4 linked regions of the Pelodiscus sinensis genome follow. The main gene of each other region encodes a partner of the protein of the gene in region 4 in a complex. Links are inferred from orthologs where the notes say so. Each region holds a gene or a part of one and is shown on either strand. Other genes may lie near its edges.

What was found.
Region 1: the proteins of BRD1 (region 4) and KAT7 are in contact, whole or in part, in a crystal structure (PDB 5GK9), measured with the Homo sapiens proteins. The link is inferred for Pelodiscus sinensis from reciprocal best matches to the Homo sapiens genes BRD1 and KAT7. Residues at the interface, in XP_047297239.1 of Homo sapiens: Val40, Ile42, Glu43, Ile44, His49, Arg50, Ile51, Ser52, Ile53, Phe54, Asp55, Pro56, Leu57, Glu58, Ile59, Ile60, Leu61; in NP_008998.1 of Homo sapiens: Leu531, Phe534, Gly536, Lys537, Glu538, Ile539, Ser540, Ile541, Lys542, Pro552, Val553, Val556, Gln560, Leu565, Tyr567, Lys571, His572, Leu573, Val574, Leu575, Lys576.
Region 2: BRD1 (region 4) and KAT6B share a complex: the UniProt entries of both Homo sapiens proteins name them as parts of the MOZ/MORF complex. The link is inferred for Pelodiscus sinensis from reciprocal best matches to the Homo sapiens genes BRD1 and KAT6B.
Region 3: BRD1 (region 4) and MEAF6 share a complex: the UniProt entries of both Homo sapiens proteins name them as parts of the MOZ/MORF complex. The link is inferred for Pelodiscus sinensis from reciprocal best matches to the Homo sapiens genes BRD1 and MEAF6.

The regions. Positions count from the first base shown.
Region 1 is NC_134739.1:15,008,692-15,016,205, reverse strand, and holds the start of KAT7 (histone acetyltransferase KAT7), read right to left. Parts: upstream 3,016-7,514; 5' UTR 3,002-3,015; coding exon 2,714-3,001; intron 384-2,713; coding exon 236-383; intron 1-235. UniProt on the Homo sapiens protein: Catalytic subunit of histone acetyltransferase HBO1 complexes, which specifically mediate acetylation of histone H3 at 'Lys-14' (H3K14ac), thereby regulating various processes, such as gene transcription, protein ubiquitination, immune regulation, stem cell pluripotent and self-renewal maintenance and embryonic development.
Region 2 is NC_134718.1:7,809,135-7,816,784, forward strand, and holds the start of KAT6B (histone acetyltransferase KAT6B), read left to right. Parts: upstream 1-4,635; 5' UTR 4,636-4,659; intron 4,660-4,852; exon of another isoform or gene 4,853-4,991; intron 4,992-5,672; exon of another isoform or gene 5,673-6,027; intron 6,028-6,119; exon of another isoform or gene 6,120-6,413; intron 6,414-7,650. UniProt on the Homo sapiens protein: Histone acetyltransferase which may be involved in both positive and negative regulation of transcription. Required for RUNX2-dependent transcriptional activation. May be involved in cerebral cortex development.
Region 3 is NC_134735.1:9,831,220-9,838,465, reverse strand, and holds the start of MEAF6 (chromatin modification-related protein MEAF6), read left to right. Parts: upstream 1-4,244; 5' UTR 4,245-4,344; coding exon 4,345-4,440; intron 4,441-7,246.
Region 4 is NC_134711.1:34,679,485-34,686,475, reverse strand, and holds the start of BRD1 (bromodomain-containing protein 1), read left to right. Parts: upstream 1-3,982; 5' UTR 3,983-4,342; intron 4,343-6,991. UniProt on the Homo sapiens protein: Scaffold subunit of various histone acetyltransferase (HAT) complexes, such as the MOZ/MORF and HBO1 complexes, that acts as a regulator of hematopoiesis.

The sequences.
Region 1 (7,514 bases), on a different chromosome or scaffold from region 4:
ACTTCCAACCCCCTCTTTAATCATTAGACTGAACAACCTATTTTATGCAATGCATCCTTGCAATGCCTTTGTTTCTTTCCCTGGCACATTTGTGTTCAATGAGAGAAAATAATGAATGAGATTAACTAAACTAAAGGTATAGATTCACTAAAATTCCTTTAAGTATTAACAAGCCAAGGATATTGTGACTGGCCAGCCAGTTGTGTCTGGTGAGGCTAGGAAGAAAGGTATTTACCCTGAGAGCTCTGACTGAGCCTGGCTGAGGAACGGGTCACGCGGGCGGATCGTCGAGATGTGCCATCGCTTTCAGAGCTGTCCGTGTGCTCAGGATCTGTAGAGAAATCGGAGTCTTCGGTTCCATCTGAACTACTGCCTGCATTCCTCTGTAACACCACAGACCCAAACATTAGCACAGGAGCACTTCCATTCTTATAATACTAAATATTCAATACTCCCTCCTCTCCCACCCCCAAAAAACTAATGACACTCAGGTAGTTTGCTTTGGAACTTGCTTTAATACAATAAACATGAGATATCAGACAGCACCATCCACAATTCAGAATTTTTGCAAACTGGTCAAAATCTAGAAAATCTACAGATAGCACCAATTTCATTTATGAAGATCATACCTGAAGTTTCAAGCAATTCCGACACTTGCTAATTTAACACAAAAGGTACCACACAGACTACTCTCATTCCAGAGTGCTCACTAAACCACTACACATACGTAGCAGAGCTTCCCTTTTACCTCTGAAAGGATGCTCTTGAAAGAAAGTGAAAAAGCAGAGCCAAGACCCAATGCATACTAGTGATGTGCAAGCACTAGCAGAGTTAGCAGCAGGGAAGACAGGAGCCCAGGTCTACACATGCCATGATCAAATGACCATTCCCTTATCCCACTGGGGCAGGGTTTGTGTTCCAGAGTTGGATTGATTGAATCTGCAGGATTTCATGCGATGGCAGGTTCACAAATACAAGTGCATCATCCTGAATCTTCTAGATGCTCCTATACACAGCAGCTGCGTCTAGACTGGCAAGTTTTTCCGCAAAAGCAGCTAACTTGCCAGCTGACTACACTGGCTGCTTGAATTTGTGCAAGAACACTGACGATCTCATGTAAGATTGTCAGTGTTCTTGCGGAAATACTATGTTGCTCCCATTCGGGCAAAAGCCCTCTTGCGCAAATGCTTTTGCGCAAGAGGGCCAGTGTAGACAACGCAGTATTGTTTTGAGCAAAAGAGCCCTGATCACAAAAATGGTGATCGGGGCTTTCTTGCACAAAACCGTCTAGATTGGCATGGTTGCTTTTCTGCAAAAAACTTTTCCGTTAAAAGCATTTGCAGAAAATCATGCCAGTCTAGACGTAGCCAGCGAGTTTGGAGAGGAGGAAGGTGAGGGAGCCCAGGGGAATTTGAGGGGATAAGGGACACCTGAGGAAATCCATCAAGGGCGAGTTTGGCAGTCCATAGTTGTGTGATCTAGAGGGGCATTAGGGAGAGGGGTGAACTAACACAGTCCGAGGCAAGTGGTATAGCAGGAACACTAAAGCAGCCCACAGTGTGTGTGTTGTGTGGTGTGGCGTTATCAGGAAATATTTGAGGAGAAATAAGGCAGCCTGAAGGAAGATGGCAGAGAGACATGTAGCGGGAGAGCTGAGGCATGGGGGGGGGGGGGCGTGGGAGGGTTAATGCAGCCCAACACAACGGGACACTAGAGAGAAGAGTCTGGGGGAAGAGCAAGGCAGTCCCGCGTGGGGCGGCGGGGGGAGGGCGAGGCGGTCCCGCGTGGGGAGGGCGGGGGGAGGGCGAGGCGGTCCCGCGTGGGGAGGGCGAGGCGGTCCAGGGTCGGGGTGCTCCAGCCACTAGCTACATGTGGCGATTTGGCCAGTGGAGCCTGGCTAGTGAGATTCAGCAGCTGCTGCTCCAGCACCGTTTGGACACCAGGGACCGGGGGGGGGAGGGAGGCAAAGGGGGGCGCTGACGGGACAATCCCGGCTGGGGGGGGGCGGTGAGAAATCGGGCGCGCGCCCCGCCCCCAGCAAAGCAGCGACGCGCCCCTCCGCACCCGGCGGCCCGTTCTGTTTTGCACCCGCCGCGTTACTACCGCTCGCTCCGGCGCGCGCCCCCGCCTGGTCCAACCAATCGCGGCCGAAGAGAGGCGGGGCGGACCGGAAGCTTCTCCAATAGAAACGTCCGTGAGAAAAGAGGCCCGGCCCCAGGGCGTGACTGATGGGAGACGCCGGCCTATCAGCGTGCCCCTGGCGGCACCAGAAACAGCCACTCAGGGAGGGCAGCCTGAATGGGAGGGAAGGGAGAGCGAACTGGGGAAACAAGGCACGCGTGGGGAGGCGACCGCAGGGGGCGGAGACGGGCAGACAGCATGTCCAATCACCGCCCAGCAGTACCGCAAGGCTCAGCCAATCAACGACCAGAGCTCCAAATCGGTGTCCAATCAGAAAGTCAAGAAGGTTGACCATGCCCCAGATGAGGGGGAGGGGGAGAAGGCAACCGTTGAGGCGATGAGTGATAGCCGCCGTAACCAATCGGTGCTCAGCAGTCCCTACTGGGGAACCATTCAGGTAGCAAGATGGGCGGGAGCAGGGGGCAGAAGGCCGCTATTTTCACTCGGTTTTCACGGCTGTGGGGGCCTGTTGGGGGAGGGGAGGGAGACAAGGACAAAGCAGACCTACCCCCCTGCCCCGCCCGGCACTCACCTTCCTGCGCGGCATCCGCGGTGGGGGCGGGGGCAGCGAAGGCGCTTGGTCTCCAGTGCCCCCGGCCCGGGACGCGGCGGTGGCCGCCGCGTTCGCACCGCTGGGCTCCGTGGTGACAGCCGTGTCTCTCGCTCTACCCCGCTGACGGTCGCCGCGCGCCAGGCCGCTCCTGCGCCGCCAGCAGAGCCCGTTCCCAGCTTGGTCCCTCACGCTTCCGCCGGGACACGCTCCACACCCCCCCCTCGTCACGTGACTCGGATCGCGCCTCACGCCAGCGGCCGCCGCCATCTTGGATTCGGACAGGTAGGGAGCCAGGCGCGGTGGGCGACGAAGCTGGCGGCGGCCATCTTGGATGTGGGCGCTGGCATTGCCCGGGGGGCCGGCCCGCCATCTTGGTTCAGGGCGCGAAGGAGGTGGGGAGGGGGACACCTCCGTAGCGTCAAAGCGTGGGAAGGGCCCGGGGGAGGCGGAGGCGCCGTTTCCCTAGGAGGCCTGAGGGCTGGGATGGGTCGGGGCCGGCCTCTGAGGCCGGGGCCCGCCATCTTGGATGCTGTCAGTAGAGCCCCTGGCTGGTGAGTATCGGGCAGGCGGGGCTCGGGTACCGCTCTCGAGCCGGCCCGTGGGGATTCCTCCCTGGCTGCTGCAGGCCGGCCCGGGGCAGGCGCCTGGCGAGCGTGGCGTGGGGGGGTGGTTTGTGCGTGCGCCTCGCTGGGGGCGGGGGGCCCTGAGCGCCCCACAGCAGCACCCACTGCCCCAATACACCGCTCCCGGCTCCGCGCTCCCTAGGCTCCGCCCGGGCAGGGGCGGGGAAGTCGCTGGGGAGAATGGGACCCGTCACGACGGTTTAGGGTACCATTGTGGGGCAGGGATAGTTCCTGGCTTGAGCTTTGGCCTGCTAAACCCAGGGCTGTGAGTTCAATCCTTGCGGAGGCCACTTAGGGATTTGAGGCAAAAGTTTGTCAGGGATGGTACTTGGTCCTGCTGTGAAGGAAGGGAGCTGGACTCAATGACCTTGCAAGGTCCCTTCCAGTTCTAGGAGATAGGCAATCTCCATTAATTTAATTGTGAAACAACAAATGAACAAGTATCACAGGGGTAGCCGTGTTAGTCTGAATGTGCAAAAGCGACGAGGAGTCCTGTGGCACCTTATAGACTAACTGAAGTGTAGGAGCATAAGCTTTCTTTGCCCACAAAAGCTTATGCTCCTACACTTCAACAAATGAACAGAATCCTGCTCTCTCCGCGATTACTTTCACACACTGCTGTTCCTTACTCTGCCCTTGAGATTCTGTGAGACAGTCCCTTGAGCATTCTACCTCTCTGTTTCCCCATCTTTCAAATGAGGGTAATAAACATCCTCTATGGATTTTAGGTATAACCTATTAATTTTTATAATATGCCTAATGGAGTAAGTAAAATCGATATGAACAATTATTCATTTATTACTTTATTATGTTGCAAACCTGAGAAGCAGTGAATGAGTGCCTGCCATGAATAACGAGAGTAAAAGAAATAGGGGGAGAGGAGGAGTTAGATTTTTAAAAAATTGTAATTTCTTCATTTCCCACTCAGTTCAACAGATTTCTAATAGGTATGGGAAAACAGATAAAACTTGCAATGTCTTTTTAGCTGATTATCCCTGTAATAATACTTGATAACACTGTTGCACATGAGGCGAGGAGTCCTGTGGCACCTTATAGACTAACTGAAGTGTTGGAGCATAAGCTTTCGTGGGCAAAGACCCACTTCGTCAGATGCATGTAGTGTAAATTTCCAGAGGCAGATATAAATATGCAGGCCAGAATCAGGCTGGAGATGATGAGGTGGATCCAATCAAGGAGGATGAGGCCCACTTCTGGTAGCTGATCTGGAGGTGAGATTTCATTAGCATCATATAGGGGTACAAAGAACTCAAAGTTCTTTTAAAAAACCTCCCACAGTGTTATGAGATGTCAATAAAGCCAAAGCCTTACTGTAGACAGTTATGTAAGGGTAAAAAAGGTCATATTACTTGTTTAGCTCATTTTTGGGGGAACCTATGGTATGAGCTATGTGCATTACACCTCCACTGCAGGTCATGCTGGTATAACTGTAATAGAAAATACTTTCTAGCATAGACAAGACCTAAATGCTTTCCCTGTTCTAGTGCTGATGAGTTACCTATCTACTTCAAATCCTAAACCTTACAAAATTTAAGGTTGTTTCTGCTATACTTTGCGCTGATTAGGCCTCAATTGGAGTATTGTGTCCAGTTCTGGGTAACACATTTCAAGAAAGATGTGGAGAAATTAGAGAAGGTCTAAAGAAGAGCAACAAGAATGATTAAAGGTCTAGAGAACATGAGCTATAAAGGAAGACTGAAAGAATTGGGCTTCTTTAGTTTGGAATGGAGAAGACTAAGAGGGGACATGATAGCAATTTTCAGGTATCTGTCACAAGGAGCAGGGAGGAAAAATTGTTCTCCTTGGCCTCTGAGGATAGGACAAGAAGCAATTGGCTTAAACTGCAGCAAGGGAGGAAGATTTAGGTTGGACATTAGGAAAAACTTCCTAACTGTCAGGGTAGTTAAACACTTGAATGAGTTGCCTTGTGAGGTTGTGGAATCTTCATCTCTGGAGATATTGAAGAGCAGGTTAGAAAGACACCTATCAGGGATGGTCTAGATGGTACTGGATCCTGCTGTGAGGGCAGGGGACTGGACTTGAAGATCTCTCGAGGTCCCTTCCAGTTCTAGTGTTCTGTGACCTCTTCCACCCCAAATGAATCATGATGGCTGATGTTTGGAGGGTTTTACAATCTTAAAAATAGTGTGGCATTCCGTGGCACCTTAGACTAACAGATTTATCTGAGCATAAGCTTTTGTTAGTAAAACCCACTTCATCAGATGAATTGGAGTGGAAATAACAGAGGTAGGGATAGAGATATATGTATGAAGGAAGTTACTTATCAAGTGTAGGAATAGTGTTAATGAGGCCAATTATGTCAGGGTGGATGTGGTTCACGCATAGAAGCTGAGGAGGAGGTGTGAATTACCAAGAAGGAAAATTGGTTACCTCACTACATATTACAAAGGCAATTTAAATCCTTATTCAGTCCTAATTTGACTGTTTTGAATTTGCAAATGAATAGCAGTTCTGCTGTTTCTCTTTGTAATCTCATTTGGAAGCTTTTTTTAGAAGGATGGCTACTTTAAAACTCATTACTGACTGTCCAGGGAGGTTGAAGTGTTCTCCTACTAGAGGTTTATATATGTTAACTTTTGATATTTGTTTTGTGTTCATTTATTCTTTGGCACAGAGCCTGTCCGGTTTGGTCAATATACACAGCAGAGGGGCATTGCTAGCACATGATGGCATTGATCCCATAAGTGGATGTGCCGATGGATGAGCTCCTGATGATGTGGTTAAGTCCTGTGATGGTGTCGCTTGTATAGATATGTGGGCAAAGTTGGCAATGGGGTTTGTTGCAGGGATAGGTTCTTGGGTAAGTGTTTCTGTGGTGTGTGGCTGCTGGTGAGTATTTGTTTCAGGTTGGGGGGGGGGGGCTGTCTGTAGGTGAGGTCAGGCCTGTCTCCCAAGGTCTGTGAGAGTGAGGAATGTTTTTTTGTTGTTGTTGTTTTGTTTTTTAAGGATAGGTTGTAAATGATCAATGATGTGTTTGAGGGGTTTTAGTGGGGGCTATTGGTGACAACCAGTGGTGTTCTGTTGTTTTCCTTGTTGGGTCTTTCCTGAGTACTCATGACTCCTGGGTACTCATCTGGCCTTAGCTGGATGCCCTTTTGTAATATTGAGATTTGATGTATTTGAAGATGGATTATGGAGTCTAAAAGAACGTTTTGATCATCATTTTTAGAAATTTAAGAATTGTACTTTTCACTTTTGCTAAAGTGTGAACTAGTGTTTTGGTCTAATGTGAGCAGTGTTATTCTACCTTGCTCAAATCCTTTTTCAGATTCAAACTGATAAAGAAGCCGTTGCTAAACTGTTGAATAGTGTTTCTGCACATTAATCAATACTACCACTTCCCACCCAGTGGTAGCTGTATTTCACTGGTGGGTGATGGATTTCTCTGTACAGCTTGTACATCAGTTATAGTTTGTAATGTGTTTTGAGATGAGTCTGGCTAAAAAGTTCTGTAACAGCTGACTGAAATTCTATTAAGTCATAGTTGTAAGATGCACACTTAAGATTTTTGTAGAATGTTAAGTTAAATTCTTGCAAATGTGCAAATCTTGTCAAATTACATAGGTCTGTAGAAGTACCAGTGCTGATAGCAAACTATTGGCTAAATGGGATAGACAATCATGCTGTGACAAGACTTGTTTTAAGTTGCTTTGCAGAAGCTAATAGCCAGTGAAGCTAAACAGCATTTTTAAAACTACTTAGGAAATTGCTTTGTGATCCTGATACAGGCATTTCCCGACTTACATTCCGAACACCTGGTTGTAACCCGTTTGTAACTCGATTTGGTAATAAGTTGAAAATATCTTTAAACATGCTGCCTGAGCTATTCGAAAAATTTGACGTACTTGGTTCTCAACTCAAAAATATTATAATATGGTTAATGGGATGTTGGTCGTAAGTCGGTGTGTTTGTAAGTCGGGGAGTGGCTGTATTATATTTGCTTGTTGCTCCCAAGAGACAAGTGGTAGACTGGAGAACAAAGGGCATTTCATAACCAATCAGACATTAATTTTTCATATTTAACATGGCCAGGATTTTATTGTGGTTATAGTTGCATCTTGTTGTTATGGCAGCAGAGCTCTGTATGCAACATGCATAACCATGATGATTACAGCCAG
Region 2 (7,650 bases), on a different chromosome or scaffold from region 4:
TAACGTTGTGTCAGCATTTCTGCTGTAAACCCTTCATTTAAGGGATTTAGAAAGAAAATACAAGAACTAAATGAGGCATCAGCAGGTGATTATTTTATACTACCATTTTGTTATTTAAGACTAATCGCTGAACGAGTGAGTACAGCACAGGCCCAGAATATATGGTCATAAATATTTTACTATATATATTTGTTACTATTTATTAATTGTATGAGGTGAAACCTAAAGGCAGGGATCAGGGTTCCATAGTGCTAGTGTGTATATAATAAAGCATACCATGTACAGTATTCTCATACATAAGACAAGGAACATAAAATTCACCTGGAAAGGGATTGGCTCACATATATGGACCACTCTTTCAGGTTCAGTTACAATGAATGTAAGAGCTACAGAAGACAGAGGTGAGATGAAGAAGGGATGAGTTATTACCAGGCCAGAAAGAAATCTGCGTGGGAGCTCAAGACCACAGCGGGAGCCGCAGCTTTGCTGTTGAACTTGAGCAACGAAGCAGGCCAGAAAAAGAGATGTAGCTGCAGAATTTGTGTACCTGACATGTCTATGGAGACACTTAAAAGTGGACAGAGAGATAGCTTACTGATCTTTTCATATTTGTTCATTTTTTTAATTGTATCCTTTGGTATATATGGTTGTGACTACTTTCTTCCACTATTTGATCTGAGGAAGTGGGTCTGGCCCACGAAAGCTCATCATCTAATAAACCATCTTGTTAGTCTTTAAAGTGCTACATTGTCCTGCATTTTGATCTTTTGCAGGTATCTTTATCCCCAACAAGGCCACTACAGCTAATGATCATTACACAATAACTCTTGAGTGACATTGTGGCTGAATTTGTCAATGGGGCTTTTGCTATTTACTTAATTGGGGTCTGGATTTTACCCCTTAACCTTTCCAAAGGAGATAATTTAGGGCCCATTATTAAAATGATGGAACCCCTGGTTTTTTTTTCTAAATTCATAAAAATAAAGGACAATAATGACTCCAAGGAAGAGAAATACCCTCAGAGAAGGACATGCCCTTTGCAAATGAGCAGCATGTGTATTTAGATGAGAGTGCCCTCAAATTTCTGAGCTGATGCGAATTGGTTAGCCCTTAGCTGATGTGTATTGGTTTGTCACAAATAAGGAGGTTTAAAGGGAAGGTTCAAACTTCAGCCTCTTGTTTCTCTGGTTCCCTAAGCCCTGTTACATAGATGGTTACAAATCCCTCCTCTTGTAACTACACTGATCTTAATGGAATTACACCGTGGATTAGATTTACATATGGGAATAACTTTACACTCAGGAGTAGCCCCTACATAGATTGTAGAATCAAGCCCCAATGTATTATTATTGTTTGTATAACGCCCAACCTATAATTCCCAGACAGGTAGGAACACAAGTAGTGCTTCTGCTTAAGCACTGAGCTCAAACTGCTATATCCTTGTGAAGATAATACTTCAGCCAGAAGGCTTGGTTTTCAGAAGTGCTAAACATCCACAACTCCGACGGAAGTATGTGGCAGCACTTCTCAAAATCAGGCACTACATCCTTATTTACACTGGCTTGCATCCACAAAGTGGGTAACGTGTCTGGATTTCTGCACGAACCCTAAAGACATACAGTCCATCAGACATGTAGATGTATGCAAACAAATGTGTCTAGCAGCACACATGTGAAGGTCTATCTGTATTTTCCTACTGAAAAACAAAAGTATTAGGCTTATCATAATTAAGGGAAGGAAATTGGCATGGAATGATGAATTGGACCATAATATTCCCTTGTAGATTCAGGTGCAGTAGTGTGCTTTTGATCTTGGAAAGTACTTGAGGCTCTGAGGCACATGCGGGGATCACATAGCACATTTCTACCTGAGATGTCTAGACATCTTTCAGAACTTACGAGCATCATTTGGTATTGTAACTCATTAGTGTTAATAATTATAAGAGATGGGGGAAGGAGGTGGGGCAATAGCTTTTATTGGACCAACTTTGTCAGTCAAAAAGACAAGTTTTCAAGCGCTTCTTCTCTGTGCAACTCAAAAGTTTGTCTCTTTCACCCTCAGAAGTTGTTCCAATCAAAGTTATTACCTCACCTACCTTGTCTCTCTCATATCTGTTTGAACCAGCAATAACAGTACTGCAGATAGTAGTCATAGGCATATAAATCCATCACAGTTTGGGTACATCTGCACTTGCTCCCTAGTTCGAGCTAGGGATGCAAATGTAGGCGACCGAAATTGCTAATGAAGCAATGCTGGCATGTTACTCAACAGCTGATTTGAAAGTGAAAGTGCGTGCTGGGACGCGTTAGTTCGAACCAAATCCCAGGGCTCTAAAATATCACAAATCAGAAGCCTTATAACATAGTCCGAAATGACTTTCTGATATAGATGTAGTAAACCTACATCTCTTTCTGATCTCAATCCAATACATGAGCATCTACTAGTGGGGAAAGACCTTGATTTATTGGAACAGATTATTTCCTATCCACTTTCTAATGGCAGATGTCTTTTCTTTTTTCCTCTCCCGTAGAGAGTTTTGAACTTCACAAAACCTAAGAGAGTCTGTGATTACAGGATACCTGTGGGCAGCATTTCATCCACAGGGTGTGGAAAGGGAAGTCAGTGGGCCTACTTGTGTGAGTAACATCAAGCATTTCCATGGGCGGCTGGTAAAGGTAGGGTTGGAGGAGGCAAAACCTCAACCTAGCCCCTTTTGCCTAGGCCACACACCCCCATCACAGGGAGGCTGGGCGGCACGTGACCTGAGCCTACCCAGCCCGGAACACAGAGAGGGCAGATGGCTCCAACCTTTCTGACCCCAGAGCACGGAGTGGCCGGGCACTGGGGGCAGCAACACTCTGACCCCAGTATGCCTCCAGCAGGCGTTCTGGGGGCAGAGTGTGGGCGGGGCCAGGGTAGCAGCTGGGAAGGCAATGCCCTCCCCTGCCTAGTGTATCAGCCGCCCATGAGCATGTGTGCGTTTCCAGGATCAACTCCCAGATTGGGTATCTACAACAGGGAGGATCTTTTCAAAAAGATGCTGGAGTAAACTTACATGCCTCGGTAGCATGCGCTGGGGAGAAAGTTATGTTCTATTATTAGACTACTAGAAGATTTACCCTGTGTTGCTCGGATCCTTAAATCAATTAATTTTTTGGGAAAATAAAATGGACATGTACATACTTCATTTAAACTATTGTTCTGGGGTGAGGCTTGAGATGAGTATGCAGGCTGCCTGGAAGAGAGAGGACTACTCCAGCATGGAGCAGACGTGTCTGGGGATGGGGAGCAGCCGCCCCTCCGCTTCCCCAGCACAGAGGTGCCCCAGCTGGAAGGGAGGCACAGTCCTCTGCCGGCTGAGAACAGAGTTGCCTGCCCGCCCTGAGCCCTCTTTCAACATTCGCTCAGTTACGTCAGTTTTGAGGACTGTACTTGATTTAGTGATCCTGTCTCTTTTCGGTTTGGTTTTAAGAGAAGCCAATCCCATTCCAGGCACATCCATTTTCCTGGAACAACCAAACTCTGACATTGCTTTAAGTTACGATAAGAGGCATACTGAATTTGGTGGGTCTAGTTCTTACCGTGTAGGAGGTGTTCTTGAACAAACAAACAGACAAACTCAAACAGATAGTAGATAGTGAAGTGTGATGTTTGCTCACTATACGTGAGCAAACATCTGAAAGTATGAGAGCTTTGACCTGATGTCTGGCTCTTGCTAACGTCACTCAGGACGGCAGCATGAAGGAGCTGGTGAGAAGTGGGACTTGACACAAGTGTAGCCTTCCTAGAACACCAATACATGTAGAATCAGGACACCTAGTTCCCTAAAATAAGTCTGTATAGTAATCTCACCGGATAAGCATCACAGGGGAGGAAATATTCACCATTTGCTCATTTCTTCCCTGTCCCATTGGCGATTATGACAGACTTGCCCAGAGTGGGGAAAGAGGGGTTCAGGAGGATCTCTCATTATGGACGAAGCAATTTAAATCATTTTATGATATAGGAATCTGCAGTCTCCCTGTGTGTCTTTTTTCCCATTCCAATGTTTTAAATTTCCAAATATTTATTTTTCAAATGATTCATTTAAAACATCTCAGAAGCTTGAGAACCCTGCAGAATACTTTTAAATCAGGTAAGATATTTATAACTATGTTCTACCACTTCCCAATCCAACCAAAACACCCCAAAACATACCCCTCCCCTACCCGGTCTGTAACCCAGACCTAACCAGACTGGCACTGATGATCAGAAACCACCAATCCCTCCAACCTTCCTTAATTTTTTTCCTCCTTTTTTGAAAAAGCCCTATTTCCTACTTTCCAGCAGCAGACAGAAAAGTGGGGAGGGAACCTCATCTGTCACAGTCTATGCAGATTAACCTTTCAATTAGCTGTTCTCAGGTTCTGTGTCTTAGCACCAGCGCTCCAATCTGCGTCCATTTAGCATCAGGAAGGCTTGAGGTTTAGGGTGGTTTTTTAAAATTAATAATAGTCATTATTTGTTTTAATGTTTTCCCTTTGCTTCCCCACATCCTGACAGGAACGGTTGCAACCCATTTTTGTATGTATGATCTCACTCCCACCCCTCTTTTTTTTTGGTGTGTGTGTGTATGTGTGTGTAAGAAGAGGAGCCCTACAGAGGAGGAGGGGAGACAAGGTATTCTCTCTATATTATTCTTTTTTTTTTTCTTTTGCAAAGGGGTTTAGAAAAGGTAACTGATGCAATCAATCCGTTAACTTGGGATTCCCCCCCACCCCTTCCTTGTCTGTCTTTCCTGGCTGCGTTTCCTCACTGTGTATGTGTGAGGGGGAGGTTGTGTTGTTGTTGTGTTCCTGGCTCTGGTTGCAGCCAGGAGAGAGGAGAGAGAGAGAGAGAAGCGGCGATCGCGTTTCAGGGGCAGCACATTCCGCAGGAACCGCTGCTGCAGAAACACACACAGCCAGAGAAAGGAGGTCATTGCAAGCCAAGGGGGGAAACCTGCACCGGAGGTTAGACTCGTAGGAGTTTATGGGCCGGGGGGGGGGTGGTAACAGGGAGCATGCGATGGATTTTGTTTTGCATTAGGTGACAGGCTGCAATTTACCATAATAACCCTCTTCCCCTCCTCTCTGTGCAAGGGGCTTGTCACTTTTTTTCCCTCCCCCGTTTTTTTTTTTTTTTTTTTTTTTTGCATTGGAGGCTGATGCACGTGTTTGCAGACACTTGTGCTCGGCAAAGCATTGCAGCGTCCCCGTGCATGTTGCAGAGGAGGGGATGGCTGGGGTGGGTGGGGGAGGGAAGGCAAGGGGGAGGGGGGCTGGCTGGCTTTTTGTGTGTTGCATGCGCCCACCCTAGCCTCCTCCGCAGAAGGGGTGACAGGGAAGTCCTGGTGCTTTGCATGGGGAAACTTGTAGGGACCGGCATGTGGCGTGGGAGCTGGGAGTCATTGTCACCCCCCCCCCCCCCGCCCCGCGGCCCCTCCATGCGCGCTGAGCCGCTGCTAGTGCCAGGCACCTCGGGAGGGTGATGCTGAGAACACGCAGGGTCCATCTCGCCCGCCCGCACGAGTGGCAAGATCCGCGGCACGCGCGTGAAGCTCCGTATTTAAGGCTGCGTATTAATGTGTGTCGCGCGCCCGCCCTGAAGTATTGGCTCGGCGGCCGTCGCTTGTGTCTCTTGCCAGCACTCACCTCTCGAACAAACTTCAGGAGCAGGCGGCGACGGGGAGGGGGAAGGGGCGGGAAGCAGGCGGGATTGACGGGCGCGGCAGCCAATAGGAGGGCGACGTTGCGAGATTCCTCGCCCCCACTCGTAATCTGCTGCCAATCGCTAGAGTTCAAGGCTGGGCCAGGGGGTAGCCGGGTCCCCGCGGGTGTTTGGCGGCGGCAGCGGCCAATGGCTGTCCACGGGGCCTCCCCCTTGGCAGATGGGCGGGGCTCCTCATAGCGGCGGAGGGAGTGTCCCGTGATTGGCACGCCCCGCCCTCCAATGGGGAGCCTGGCTGGCCGCTGGGCGGGGCGCGCCGCTCCTGCGGTCGGCCGATGGACAGCGGGGGCGGCCAATGAGCGCGGCGCGGCGCGGCCCAATGCCGAGCGGCGGTGGGCGGGGCTTGCGCCGGAGGGCGGAGTCTGTGTGTGTGGTGGGGGGGGGGAGGGTAGGTAAGGTTTTAATGAGACTCCATTGGGCTGTAATCAGTGTCATGTCGGATTCACGTTAACTACAACAGGGTGAAACAAAATGGCGGCGGCTTAGGTGAGCCCAGCAAGCGCCGCCGCCGCAGCAGGGCGGGGGGAGCCAGCCGCAGCAGCAGGGGCGGCAGCTGCCTCAGCCTCGCAGCAGCAGCAGCAGGGGGAAGAGCCAGCAGCAGGGGGAGCAGCCGCAGCCGCACCTGGAGGTGGCTCCTCCCCTTCCCAGCCCTGATCCCCGCCGAGGTGAGTGGTACCCTGAGCGGGGGAGGGGCGCGCTGTCCCCACAGCATCCCTCCCCCAGGGCAGGGGGGGGCAGGTCTCTCACCCAGGCACCGCCTCGTGAGGGGGCAGCCCACGGGGATGCTGCCCTCCCCGCCCAGCCTGCTAACGTGCAGGAAAACGGGGGCGAGGGGGGGCTGCCTGCCTGAAGAGGGGTCTCTTTTAAAATGATGCTCCCTTTCCCCACTAACAGCCCCCCTCCCCGTGATAGCTGAGACGTGCCAGTCAAGTCCTTCCCCCCCCTTGGCTGCCCCAATATTGCGAATTTCAAAATGCTGCCTTGGAAACACTTGGTTTCCAACGCGTCCCCGCTCAGAACTTGCTCGTGGAGAATTTCATATTCCCCTCCCTCCCCCCCCCCCTCCACAAACTTTGCCTTTCAATCACGCCCAGCCCCTCAAAAATAGGTCTCCAACAAAAGCAGCCACCCCAGACCAGCCCTGGAGTCGGAATAGCCACTCCTCGCAGTCACTGATGACTTCAGATCACTGTCATGGTAGTAACACCTTCAGTGCTTTTAAAAATGAGGGGAGGTAGGGGAAGAAGGTGGGAAGGACAAACGTTCAGTTTTGTTGCTGTCATGTGGTGGTGGTGGTGGTGCTAGGGTGGTGCTTGTTGCTGTCATGATGTTGTTGCTGATTTAATATGTGATCTTAAGCTGGTTTGTGGGATATTGCAGCATACAAACACTTCATCAGGTCCTGGTTTACACTTGCTGCTTTCCAAGAAATTAAATAATCCCTTGATTTATTCCTTGCAGCGAAACTTACGAATGCCTCTCCCTTTGCAGTTAGCTAAGGTTTATGCAAGTACCAGTTCATTCACTTGTCATAACTAAAGGTATATACTGTGTGAAGAGAAATGAAATCACTGGCTCCATGATCTGAATAATTTTAATTTAAAGAGTGTTATATGCACTGAGAGTTCCTCTGACTTTTTTTCTTTAGTGGTTGTATTTATTTTGAGAAGGAAACCCATGTCTTGAATCTTTAATTGAGCAGCTAGAGGAAGGAATTAGAATTGATGGGCTGCATAATTCAAAATAATAGGCTGGATGAAAGGAGTGTGGCCAAGAGAGTTTGTTTAATGCAATGGCAGTTTTGTCGTCTTTCTCCACTCCTGCTGCAATCCTTACCTGACCCTGATGCTGCAGCAGAGAGCTGGCCTGCTGCTCCTGCTTCTGCTGTCTGTGAACAGAGCA
Region 3 (7,246 bases), on a different chromosome or scaffold from region 4:
GAGAAACTGATGCTGTAGATCAGTGTTTCTCAACCAGTAGTACAAGTACCCTTAGGGGTACTTTAGAGAAGTCTGGGGGGTACATCAATACAACTAAAATTTGGAGAAAACTTGATTTTTTGTTTTAAGTTTTACAGCCCTTTATTGTTTTTGTACTTTATACACTGAAAAATGTCATCACCCGCCCGGCTACGATTAAGTTGTTTAAAAAATGTGTTGGAATGGTAGAAAAAAATTGTGTCTGAAAACTGTAGGTACTGAGAGTCCTTTTTTTTAAGGGGGTACTTAATTTTTTTAAAGGGGTATTTTATTAAAAAAAAGGCTGAGAAACACTGCTGTAGATTACTAGATCCAATGGTTATCTTCTGAGGAAGTGGGTCTGGCCCACAAAAGCTCATCACCTAATAAACCATCTCGTTAGTCTTTAAAGTGCTACATAGTCCTGTCTTTTGTTTCAACTAGACCAGACTAATATGGCTGCATCTCTATCACTATTCTAATGACCCTGATTGATCTATGTAACAGGACAAGCTATGAAAGAAGTCATTGACCGGTCTACTGACAGTTGTACTGATGTAACTATGTTGGGTGGGGATGTGATTTATTTTTAAATGTTAACTGTTATACTAGTGCAAACTGTGGATGCAGTTATTCCCCTTCCTGTAGAAATAGCTATATAGAGATTCAGAGGGGTAGCTGAGCTAGTCTTTAACACGAAAAACTTAAAAAACAACAAATAGTCTAGTAGCACCTTAAAGACTAACAAAACATGTAGATGGTATCATGAGCGTTTGTGGGCAAAATTCACTTCAGTATAACAAGTCCTCCGGTCATCTGAAGAAGTGGGTTTTGCCCACGAAAACTCATGATACCATCGACATGTTTTGTTAGTCTTTAAGGTGCTATCGGACTATTTGTTGTTTTTTAAGTTTATATGAAGATTGTTCATCTTTACAATCACAATTGCATCCACACTAGAGGGGTGTACTGATTTTATCGCTTCAGTACTAGGCAATTTACTTGGCGTTGCCCGGGTCCTTACCTCAATTAATTTTTGTTTTTTTGGAAAATAAAATTGAAATGTGTGTGCTTCATTTAAATCATCGCTCTGGCATGGGGCTGGGGACGAGGGGTTCAGTACGCAGATGGCCCAAGGAGAGCGAGGAATATCCTAGCCCTTTCTCACTGCAGCTGCTTGGAGCTGGGTAAGAAGCACCTCCCCATGGCCACTGCAGCTCCAGTGAATAGAGCTGGGAGAGGGGTGCAGGTCTTCCCCCTGGGGCAGGTCCAGGTTCATCTGCCCCCTGTACTCTCCAGCCAGAGTGAGGAATATAGCAAACTGTGCACTTTCCTCTGGTTATCTGACAAATGGAAATGACCAGCAATGTCCCTGTATAAAAGAGGTAGGGGTGGAGAGCTTCGCCCCCTCACCCACTCTACCTGAAGGGCACCTGGGAGATGGAAGACTTGGGGCTGAGGCAGACCTGCTGGGTGGGGAGGTGGAAGGGGTGCAAGTCCCCCCATCCAGCCCCTTTCACCTTCCTGGTGATTGTCTCTCTTCTGTATGGTTTTATGAGAAGCAATCCCATTCCAGGCACATCCCATTTTTCTGGCACAAGAGGAAGCTGTATACCAAATTTGGTGGTCCTAGCTCTTACCTTTTAGGAGGACTTCTTGAACAAACAGACAAACTCTCTCAAATATATAGTAGATTAGAAGACTTACCCAGTGTTGCCCAAGTCCTTCAGGGCAGGAGGCCTGAGGTCTGCAGAATATAGGAAGGTCGCCAGGGACTCTCCCTCCCCTGTGGCGAGGTGGCCTGCCAGGGGCTCCCTCCTCCCGGGGCTTGCCCTTCCCCCTCTCCCTTCCTGGGGCAAAAAGGGGCTGGCAGGGACTGTCTTCTGTGCATGGGGGCCCCATTTACCCCGTTGGGTGGTAGGCAAGATGGTGACCCCTTTTCTCACTGGCCGCTCTCAAGGTGATACAGCTGCCCAGTTTCTCTGTACTATTGATCCTCTGTGCTCCCTGCCTTCCGTGAGTATAGCATCTCTCCAAACAGCCCTTCCCTTTCTGGAAAAGTCCTATTCTCTATAATTCTCATTTTCCTGGCACAACCAAACTCTGACCTTGCTTTAAGTTAGGAAAAGAGGAAGCTGCCTACCAAATTTGATGGCCTTAGCTCTTACCATTTAGGACTTCTTGAACAAACAGACTCACAGACAGATGCATACAGTATTTCTAAAATATATACACAGCTAACACAGTGCAACTTTTCAGTGCAGACAGGGCCTTATTGGCACTCCTGTGTGTCACATAGTTTAATTCTTATGCTAATGGTCTAAACAGGGATCCTGGATGGCTCTCAAACTATCTTCCACCTTTTAATAACTTAACCAACCAACGGAGGTGCTAATGGTTCTTAACTGACTCCTGTAACTACTTGAACTATCTACTCACCATCTACATGTTTTGCTAATCTTTGAAGTGCTACTAGAATAATTGTTGTTTAAGTTTTATCTACTCATATCTCTCTTTTTCTTCCTCCCCTGCCCTTTTTCTCTCCCCCCTGCCCTCCCACCTTCCCTTTTCTTATTTATCCTTGGATCTGGACTCATTATACTCCAGTCATCTGAAGAAGTGGGTTTTGCCATGAAAGCTCATGATACCATCTACATGTTTTGTTTGTTTTTAAAGTGCTACTAGACTATTTGTTGTTTTTTAAGTTTTTACATACTTTATTAGCTGGTGTCAGTAACTTGAATCTTCAGCAAAAATGGAGCAAATGAAAAATGGATGTAGCTTTAGTATTTCTAAATCTTCAGGAAAGCAAGTGGTATTGCATAGAAGTCAGAGAAGAAGGTTCATGTTTCATATGCAGCAGGAGCAGAGCCATTACAAGCTACAGTATGTTTCAAGGGAACAATGAAGGACATTACACACTTCTAAATAAACTTATTTTAAAAACTCAAGAACATTCTGATCTCTCCAAGAATGTTCCTTAGGAGGTACGTTTTCTTTACAAGAAACTTACTGCCAGGAAGAAAAAGCTGATCATTTTGCCAAACAAAATCATGTGAGTTTGCATAGTTAGTAGCCAGGGCTAATTAAAAACAAGCTTATTTGGAGTACACCTGATAAGATTACTGGAAGGTCAGGAGATGAACCTGACTCCAGAGAACAGTGAGTATTGACTTGGCTAATAACAATAGCTTCCTCTAGGAAAATATTAAACAGTGAAAATACGGAAGGGTGTCCAATTCAAAATAAAAACTAAGGGCTTGTTCAGAGGTGAATGGGATATTGGGGGGGACTGAGGATGGGGTCTTAGTGCTTCTCTGGGAAAAGGTTGGATGAGGGCACCAGAGGCTGCCTGAGGGGAGGGCTCTGTGTGCAGTGTGGATAGGATGGGTGGCTCTGAGTGGGGGTGCTATGTGTACATGGTAGATGAGGTGCAGAATGAATGGGTGTCCTAGTGGTGGAGGGGCTCTGGGTAGATGGACATGAGGGTAGGGATGATGTGGATGGCGTGTGTGGGGGATGCTGAATAGGATGCCAAAAGGGACTCTGCAGGGTAGATGGGGAGGGCGGTGAGGGGGTCCCTGGGCTGCAAGGGAGGGTCCCCGGGCGGTGGGGGGGATAGTGGCGGGGGGCCCCTGGGCAGTGAGGGGGGGGCTCGGCGGTGACTGGGGGTCCCCGGGCGGTGAGGGGGGGCTCGGTGGTGAGGGGGTCCCCGGGCGGTGAGGGGGGGTCCCTCGGGCTGTGAGGGGGTCCCTGGGTGGTGGGGGGGATAGTGGCGGGGGGCCCCTGGGCGGTGAGGGGGGGCTCGGCGGTGAGGGGGTCCCCAGGCTGTGAGGGGGGGCTCGGCGGTGAGGGGGTCCCCGGGCGGTGAGGGGGGGGGTCCCTCGGGCTGTGAGGGGGTCCCCGGGCGGTGAGGGGGGGGTCCCTCGGGCGGTGAGGGGGTCCCCGGGCTGTGAGCGGGGGCTCGGCGGTGGGGGGGGTCCCTTGGGCTGTGCGGGGGGGTCCCTCGGGCGGTGAGGGGGGGTCCCCGGGCTGTGAGGGGGGGTCCCTCGGGCGGTGGGGGGGGGTCCCTCGGGCGGTGAGGGGGTCCCCGGGCTGTGAGGGGGGGTCCCTCGGGCGGTGAGGGGGGGTCCCTCGGGCGGTGGGGGGGATAGTGGCGGGGGGCCCCTGGGCGGTGGGGGGGCTCGGCGGTGAGGGGGTCCCCGGGCGGTGCCGGGCGCGGGGGGTCCCGAGGCGGGCGGGTCTCAGCGCTGCCCCCGGCGGACCCGGCCGGCAGCGCACGCGGCTCCCGCCCCCTCCCGGCCGCTCCCGCCCGCCGCAGCCATCATGGCGGCGCTGCACACCAAGGCCGGGGGCCCCCCCCAGATCCCCGACACCCGCCGCGAGCTGGCCGAGCTGGTGAAGCGCAAGCAGGAGCTGGCGGTGAGGGGCGGGGAGCGCGGCCCGACCCCCCCCCCCGGCCCGTCCGCCCGGGCCGCGACAGGCCGCGCCCGGGAGCCGGCTAGGCCGCGACTCCCCCCCCCCGCCCTGCGCAGCCTCGGGTCCCACCCCCTGGGGGCACCGGCCCTGGGGGGCAGAGAGGATGGGGGGCTGGGGAATGGGGGGTACTAGCTCTGGGAGGGAGAGGGTGGGGGCTGGGGAATGGGGGGTACTAGCTCTGGGAGGGAGAGAGGATGGGGGCTGGGGAATGGGGGGTACTAGCTCTGGGAGGGAGAGGATGGGGGCTGGAGAATGGGGGGTACTAGCTCTGGGAGGAGAGAGGATGGGGGGCTGGGGAATGGGGGGTACTAGCTCTGGGAGGGAGAGGATGGGGGCTGGGGAATGGGGGGGTACTAGCTCTGGGAGGGAGAGGATGGGGGCTGGTGAATGGGGGGGTACTAGCTCTGGGAGGGAGAGGATGGGGGCTGGGGAATGGGGGGTACTAGCTCTGGGAGGGAGAGAGGATGGGGGGCTGGGGAATGGGGGGTACTAGCTCTGGGAGGGAGACGATGGGGGGCTGGGGAATGGGGGGTACTGGCTCTGGGAGGAGAGGGGCTGGGGAATGGGGGGTACTAGCTCTGGGAGGGAGAGGATGGGGGGCTGGGGAATGGGGGGTACTAGCTCTGGGAGGGAGAGGATGGGGGCTGGGGAATGGGGGGTACTAGCTCTAGGAGGGAGAGGATGGGGGCTGGAGAATGGGGGGTACTAGCTCTGGGAGGGAGAGGATGGGGGGCTGGGGAATGGGGGGTACTAGCTCTGGGAGGGAGAGGATGGGGGGCTGGGGAATGGGGGGTACTAGCTCTGGGAGGGAGAGGATGGGGGCTGGGGAATGGGGGGTACTAGCTCTGGGAGGGAGAGGATGGGGGCCTGGGGAATGGGGGGGTACTAGCTCTAGGAGGGAGAGGATGGGGAATGGGGGGTACTAGCTCTGTGAGGGAGAGGATGGGGGCTGGGGAATGGGGGGTACTAGCTCTGGGAGGGAGAGGATGGGGGGCTGGGGAATGGGGGGTACTAGCTCTAGGAGGGAGAGGATGGGGGGCTGGGGAATGGGGGGTACTAGCTCTGGGAGGGAGAGGATGGGGGGCTGGGGAATGGGGGGGTACTAGCTCTGGGAGGGAGAGGGTGGGGGCTGGGGAATGGGGGGTACTAGCTCTGGGAGGGAGAGAGGATGGGGGCTGGGGAATGGGGGGTACTAGCTCTGGGAGGGAGAGGATGGGGGCTGGAGAATGGGGGGTACTAGCTCTGGGAGGAGAGAGGATGGGGGGCTGGGGAATGGGGGGTACTAGCTCTGGGAGGGAGAGGATGGGGGCTGGGGAATGGGGGGGTACTAGCTCTGGGAGGGAGAGGATGGGGGCTGGTGAATGGGGGGGTACTAGCTCTGGGAGGGAGAGGATGGGGGCTGGGGAATGGGGGGTACTAGCTCTGGGAGGGAGAGAGGATGGGGGGCTGGGGAATGGGGGGTACTAGCTCTGGGAGGGAGACGATGGGGGGCTGGGGAATGGGGGGTACTGGCTCTGGGAGGAGAGGGGCTGGGGAATGGGGGGTACTAGCTCTGGGAGGGAGAGGATGGGGGGCTGGGGAATGGGGGGTACTAGCTCTGGGAGGGAGAGGATGGGGGCTGGGGAATGGGGGGTACTAGCTCTAGGAGGGAGAGGATGGGGGCTGGAGAATGGGGGGTACTAGCTCTGGGAGGGAGAGGATGGGGGGCTGGGGAATGGGGGGTACTAGCTCTGGGAGGGAGAGGATGGGGGGCTGGGGAATGGGGGGTACTAGCTCTGGGAGGGAGAGGATGGGGGCTGGGGAATGGGGGGTACTAGCTCTGGGAGGGAGAGGATGGGGGCCTGGGGAATGGGGGGGTACTAGCTCTAGGAGGGAGAGGATGGGGAATGGGGGGTACTAGCTCTGTGAGGGAGAGGATGGGGGCTGGGGAATGGGGGGTACTAGCTCTGGGAGGGAGAGGATGGGGGGCTGGGGAATGGGGGGTACTAGCTCTAGGAGGGAGAGGATGGGGGGCTGGGGAATGGGGGGTACTAGCTCTGGGAGGGAGAGGATGGGGGGCTGGGGAATGGGGGGGTACTAGCTCTGGGAGGGAGAGGATGGGGGCTGGGAATGGGGGGGTACTAGCTCTGGGAGGGAGAGGATGGGGGCTGGGAATGGGGGGGTACTAGCTCTGGGAGGGAGAGGATGGGGGCTGGGGAATGGGGGGTACTAGCTCTGGGAGGGAGAGAGGATGGGGGGCTGGGGAATGGGGGGTACTAGCTCTGGGAGGGAGAGGATGGGGGGCTGGGGAATGGGGGGTACTGGCTCTGGGAGGAGAGGGGCTGGGGAATGGGGGGTACTAGCTCTGGGAGGGAGAGGATGGGGGGCTGGGGAATGGGGGTACTAGCTCTGGGAGGAGAGAGGATGGGGGGCTGGGGAATGGGGGGGTACTAGCTCTGGGAGGAGAGAGGATGGGGGGCTGGGGAATGGGGGGTACTAGCTCTGGGAGGGAGAGGATGGGGGGCTGGGGAATGGGGGGTACTAGCTCTGGGAGGAGAGAGGATGGGGGCTGGGGAATGGGGGGTACTAGCTCTGGGAGGAGAGAGGATGGGGGGCTGGGGAATGGGGGGGTACTAGCTCTGGTAGGAGAGAGGATGGGGGCTGGGGAATGGGGGGTCCTAGCTCTGGGAGGAGAGAGGATGGGGGGCTGGGGAATGGGGGGTACTAGCTCTGGGAGGGAGAGAGGATGGGGGGCTGGAGAATGGGGAGT
Region 4 (6,991 bases):
AAAAACTGCCAACTCTCTCCAATTGTTTTTCCTCATAGTCTTGCTTCTGATGGAATCTTACCTACTAGCTCTCTGAGCTTACTAAAATCTGCTTTCCTGAAATCCATTGTCTCTGTTTTGCTGTTCTTCCGTCTACTATTCCTTAGAATCATGAACTCTGATTTCATAATCATTTTCACCCATGCTGCCTTCCATTTTAACATTTTCAACTGGTTCCTCCCTATTTGTTCAAATCAAATCGAGAACAGCTTCCCTCCAATAGCTTTCTCAGCCTTCTGGAAAAAAAACAAAAACCAACCAACCAACCAAACCACCATCTCCAATGCATTCCAAGGACTTGTTGGATAATCATACCCTGCTGTATTAGTTTCCCCAACAGATGTCTGGACAGTTCAGGTCCCCCATCACCACCAAATCCTGTGCTTTGCATGATTTTGTTAGTTGTTTAAAAAAAAAGCCTTATCCACTTCTGCCTAGGTAGATGGTCTGTAGTAGACCCCAGCACGACATCCTTATTTTTTACCCCTCTTAGCTTAACCCAGAGACTCAACAAATCTGTCATGTGTGTCCGTCTCAACCTCAAGTGTATACATTTTTAACTATAAGGCAACACCTCCTCCCTTTTTTCCTTGCCTATCCTTCCTGAGCAAGCTGTACCTTTTTATACCAATATTCCAATCATGTTATCCCACCAAGTCTCTGTTCCCAACTATCTCATAGATGTGTTTATTTACTAGCACTTCACATTCTCCCTGCTTATTTCCTATACTTCTTGCTTTTGTATACAGGCATCTGAGGTACTGGTTTGTTTTTGCCCTCCATTTCTGCTTTGTCCCTCCTTTATCTCTGCTATTATATAGCCCATGCTCCCTCCCATTTCTGACTCATCTCCCAAGTCTCCATGTTTTTCACTCACCTGTGGCCTTTGGTCTCCTGCCCCCATTGAGCCTAGTTTAAAGTCCTCCACAGTAGGTTAGCCACTCTGTATCCAAATACTCTCTTCCCCTTCCTCAAAAGGTGAACCCCATCCCCTGACAGCACCCACTGCTCTTTAAAAGCATCCAATGGGTCAATAGATAACACTTGGAGATACTCTGCTCAGATGTGTGACTGAACAAAAGAACATTCCACAGTAACAGACCATCCTATCCTGAACATAGACTCAGAGGTAGGCAACTCTCTGACCTCCTTGCTGCCTTCCCTGGTTTTCTGTAGACTTCACACCATTAATTTGCTTATTCCTTCTTATGGTACTGTCTCTGTTAGTAAGTTGCTCAGGAGTTGCTTTCTCCATCTACCATACTCCACTGGTAGCCACTTTACCCTGCTGTTTACCAAGTCTTTTATTTTCCCAGCTGCTCTGGGACTGCCAATTAGCATTGGCAGGTAGTACCTGCATTAATTGTTTGGTTGCTGGACCAGGATGGTAAGTTTGCCCAGAAAAAAGGGGCCGATAAGATTTGACATGAAGGAATTTCTGTTTTCCCGGACATTATATTAAAGGAACATTCAATTAGCAATTTCAGAAAATATCACAACCAAGATTGCCCTGAAAGCTTAATTCAGTATTTGAAAACAATATGATTCAATATTTAATTACAAGTAATTGTGTAATTATTGTTACAACTAATAGTCCACAGAACCATAGCACATTTAGTGTACATGATAGTGTGTGGTGAATTTAACTATTGTCTGTAAAATTCTGTCCTTCTCTATTACAGGGGGACTATAAAAGGATAACAAAATGCTCTTGTGACAGCTGAATGTAGTGTGACCATATTTCCCAAAGGGAAAAAGGACATTCTCAGCCTCTCACCCAAGCCCTACCTATCCTGCATAGGCTACTGCCCAGATGCTGGAACACTGCTGGCCCTCTTCATGCTGCTCCCCCTCTGGTTGGGGCTGGCATCTCCACTCACCCATCCTCCTGTTCCTCCATACTGCTTCCCCCCCCACTTTTTTTTGACAAAAGTTGGTTTTGTCTTATTTGCTCTTGCCAGCTAATCAAGTCAGTAAGGCTGCGTCTAGACTGGCATGATTTTGCGCAAAAGCGTCTGCCTGTCTACACTGGCCGTGAGTATTTGCGCAAGAACACTGACTTTGTAATGTACAAAATCAGTGGTTCTTGCGCAAGTACTCTGACACTTCCACTCATGGATAAGTCCTCTTGCGCAAGAGGGCCAGTGTAGACAGCAACGTTAATTTCTTGCACAAGAAAGCCCGATGGCTAAAATGGCCATTGGAGCTTTCTTGCGCAAGAGAGCGTCTACACTGGCACGGATGCTTTTGTGCAAAAGCAAATCTTTTGTGCAAAGGCACATGCCAGTATAGACGCTCTCTTGTGCAAATAATTTTAACGGAAAAACTTTTCCGTTAAAAGTATTTGCGCAAAATCATGCCAGTCTAGACGCAGCCTAAGAGAAAACAGGGGAAATGCCCACTTTTACCAAAAAAGATGGGGTGGCTAGGACAGGACTTAAAAAAAGGGGACTGTCCCAGCCAAAATGGGAGCACTTTTGTGTGTATTTAACATGTATTACAGTTGTAACAGCAACCAGCAGCCAAACTACCTAATTGCTCTTATATAAACTAGGCCTAAGTATATTTTACCCACTCTTTTATATAATGTCTTTTTTCTACGTGCATAATTTTTAATGTGATATTGAGGTACTTAATGCCTCTGTTTCCCCAGGAATAACTTTATGGTTGAGAAAAGCCTATGGGTCCGTCTTACTCTGGAGCTGGAGAGAGCTATTGCTAGTTCTGTGCAGTGATCGCTAACGCAGGCAAAGCCTGTGTCAGTGTTGCCAACACACTTGATTTTTTATCACAACCCTAGTAATTCTGTGATGTTATTTTGTCTGTGTTATGACAACATGATGAAAAAAGCCAGCTCACAATTTTTCTTATTCAAAACTGCCGCTACCATTCCCTATTACTGTCAATTACGGGCTATTTCTCTCAATTCCATCTGCATGAGGTGACGCTTCTCTTCATAAAGTTAAAAAACCCGAATCCCTAAGATGCTGCAGGACCACTTCCTTTTTTGTTACACACAAACATGGCTACCCCTCCGAGACTTCATAAAATTGGTTGTCAACTCATACTGTTTTCAGTCATACTGAAGCCAGGCCCACAGGCAAAAAAAACTGCTATGCTACTAGGGACCTGAGGGCTAGAGAGGAGATAGGAACTGTGAGGAGCAGCAAAAACACTGTAAATCAGATGTGGAGAGTAAGGGGGAGCAAGAGGCACTTTTAGGGTTTGTAATGCTGCCAGGTTTTGTGGGGGGAGGAGATGGATGGAATAGCAGTTTACCTGCCTGGAGGTTAGTGGTGGGGGAGTCTGAAGCAGCTAGAGGAAAAAGTACAAGAGGAGCTGTTCTGATGATACAAAATATGCTTCTTTGCCTATTCCTCAACTTTCAGGGCTGGACATGTGGGCAGAGTTATGTGGGACAGTCTTGGAACTAGGGCCACAGACCTGCTTTGCCATGTCTATATGGTCTTAGAGCTGAGGGAATACTGGTAGGAGGCAATGGGGGGTCACATTATTGCTGTTAGAGTCCAGGTGCAAAAGTCCCAGCCCAGCTGCTGACAGAAAAATGTAGCTGCAGGGTCGAGGCAGGAATAGGAAATGCGGAGTTTGGCTCTACGTAGAGACCAGAGGGGAAGTTGAGGCTCCCCCAGCAGCCAGGCAGAGGTGGGCATTTTGTGTGTATTAAAGGGTGACTTTTCTACTTGTATTTTTCACACCTACAGGCACAGAGGAGAAGCCAAACTAAAGCAGACGCGGTGCTTAGCCTCCTCCGTTTCTTTTTAAGCCCATCGTACTTTCGGGGAGGTGGCCGACGGCTGGGGCGCCATGGAGATCGGCCATGGCCTGCCCGCCCGTGTCAGGCAGCGCCGCCCACTGCAACACAGGGCAGAGGGAGAGCGGAAAGGCCCCTCCCCCACGGCGGCGGGGCGGTGCCTGGGACTGGCGCTCCCACGTTCCGTCCCCCCGCCGGCGCTGCGCTGTGGTGAAGCCGCATTGTTTGTGCCGAGGGGGGAGGGGCGGTTCTCAGCCCTAGGACGGAGCCGAGCCCGCAGCCGGACTGCGACCAGCTCCGCGCCTCCCGAATGCGCCGCGCGCGCCTCGAGCAGGAGCCCCGCACCCGCCGCCGGCAGCCCGAAGGCAGCACGGCACCGCCAGCGCCCGCTGGGCCGCCCGGGGCTGCTGGGAACGGCACCAGGCAGCGGCATCGGTGGGGCCACCCCCGCCATTAGACCGGCCGCCGTGTCGACCCGGAACGAGGAGGAGGAGGAGGGTCTGTCAGCCGCGCTCCAGCGGCTCCCACGACGTGAGTGCGGCCGGGCGGCGCAGAGGGGCCGGCGGCTCGCGGCCAGAGCCGGGCCTAGCGAGCGCGGCTTGGTGGCGGGAGCGGGCGGAGGCGGCCCGGCACAGCGGGCGGGGGAGGGCGCAGCGCAAGCTGTTTTGTTGGACGCCATGTTTGTGGGCCGACAGTATTGTGGGGTGGGGGTGGGGCGAGGCTCGGGAAGGGTTGGAGCTGACGGGCCTGGGCAGGAACCATTCGCGCGGGGGTGACAGGCGCGGGCAGGAACCATTCGCGCGAGGGGCGTGCGTGTGGGTAGCGCGGTGACGGGCGTGGGCAGGAAGTGTTCGTGCTGGAACAGGGTGTGGGAGGGATAAGGGGCGTGGGGAGGAACCGTCCACTGCTTGTGCGTGGGGGGAGCTTGGGGAGGAAGCCGTTCGGGCCGAGCTCAGGGGAGAGGAGGAGCTAGTTTGGGGAATGGTGCCGGTTGTCTCCGGAGATGTTGGGGTTGATGATGTCAGGAGGGTTTGCCTGGTCCAGCCCAGGCCTATCACGGGTATTTTCACTTATGGAATGAAATAATTTCTTCAGGGGTCAGCCACTGGCTTCTCTGCGAATGAATATGGCTGGTGGTAATGGACTGTTTGCAGCATCCTTGGTAGTTTTTTCTCCATCTCTTTGCCATGGTCCACAGATGATGCATGTTGAGAGCCACGAATAAAGCAAGGTAGCAAAGGACCCAACACTGCATGTTTGCAGAAGGAATTGGCAGCCTTTACAAAGGTCTATTAGAGTGCTGCGCTGTAGGTTTAACCTGCTCTCCCCTCACCTGTCCCCTTACCATGCAGTGCTTCATCTACATAAATTGCATTTCACGTAAATAGCTGCATCTTCACATTTTTGTCATGAAAGCTACCTCAGCAAATTGTCATTCAAAAAAAAAAAGTTCTGTTTCCATCTTCTTTAGCCTTTGTGCTGCTTTTACAGGAGGAAAGAAGTACCCCAAACCTGAGCTGTGTAACACTTTATGAATTCTTTCTGTTTTATGGTAAATTTAGCAATCCTTATTGTACTTTAGGGTCTCAAGGCATTTTTAGTCACCCAAACTACAACTATACAAAATTAGGATAGATATTGTTAAAACTACTTCCACATGTAGCGTGCTCTCCCCTCCTGCATTCTTGTTTTCTTTTAAGAGGTTAAATGCTAAATTGTCATTTGTTTCCAGATTGGGCCAAAATTTAATCTAAATGTAAGAGAAGGTGCTTGAGAACGTACATGATAACTGTTCGAATCTCATTATTGGGAAGTGCTTTTTCATCACTTTGTGGCAGATGTCTTCCCTTATTTAGAATTTGTGACATTTGCACTAAGTCTGGGAGGAAAGCTGCTGGCGTTATGAGATACATGTTCCATGGTTGTCACTATGCTTGCAAAAAAGCAAACAGTTTCTCCTGAAAACTTATGTTATATGGTAGTGTCTTCTGTAGCAGGGGTTCTCCACCAGGAATCTGGGGCTCTCTTAGGGGCTGAAAGCAGATTCTGCCAAAATAAGCAATAGAGCGGGAACAACATTATATTGCTGGGACCAAGGAAAGAAAGCTGGAATTCGAATCCTGCTGCCCACAATTGAAGCTGAAGACAAAGCCTAAGCAACTTAGCTTCAAAAAGCCAACTGTGGGGTTGGCCCCACGCCATTGCATGGCTTGCTATCCTTTAGTACTATCCGGCTACGTCTACACTGGCCCCTTTTCCGGAAGGGGCATGTTAATTTCAGCTATCGTAATAGGGAAATCCGCGGGGGATTTAAATACCCCCCTCGGCATTTAAATAAAAATGTCCGCCGCTTTTTTCCGGCTTTTAGAAAAGCCGGAAAAGAGCATCTACACTGGCCCCGATCCTCCGGAAAAAGCGCCCTTTTCCGGAGGATCTTATTCAAAGTAGGAATAAGAGCCTCCGGAAAAGAGCGCTTTTTCCGGAGGATCGGGGCCAGTGTAGACCCTCTTTTCCGGCTTTTCTAAAAGCCGGAAAAAAGCGGCGGACATTTTTATTTAAATGCTGCGGGGGATATTTAAATCCCCCGCGGATTTCCCTATTACGATAGCTGAAATTAACATGCCCCTTCCGGAAAAGGAGCCAGTGTAGACGTAGCCTCCCTGGCTTTTCATTGACTAAATATGTAGAAAAATGGTTGTGGCACGGTTGAGCTGGTAAAATTTATATTCAGTCATAATAGCCACTGCCCCTCTTCTCCAATTTGAGGAAATAGACAGTAACCTCATTGATCAATGTCATTGTTGTTTGTAGGTGTGGTGATGGGGTATGTAAATATAAATGGGTGTATATAAAAATTATCTTTAGGTTAGAATAACATTAACACCAAGTAGTTATATGATAGATTATTGCAATTGATTTAAAAAAATCTATTCATTTATTGTGCTATTTATCATCATTATCCGATAAGACGAAACTAAACTTGTCAATTTCAGTGTCAGGTTCTCATGCACTAATGCATTTATAAATGGCTTTACTACCTTATAAGAAAACAAAGAAATATACATTTTATTGACATTTAGAGGGGACATTTTATTTTCCTTGTCCTTGAATTTTTTTAGATTAACCCTAAATTTAGTCCCCATAAACTGAATTGCCATTCTCTTTACCTGGACCTACTAT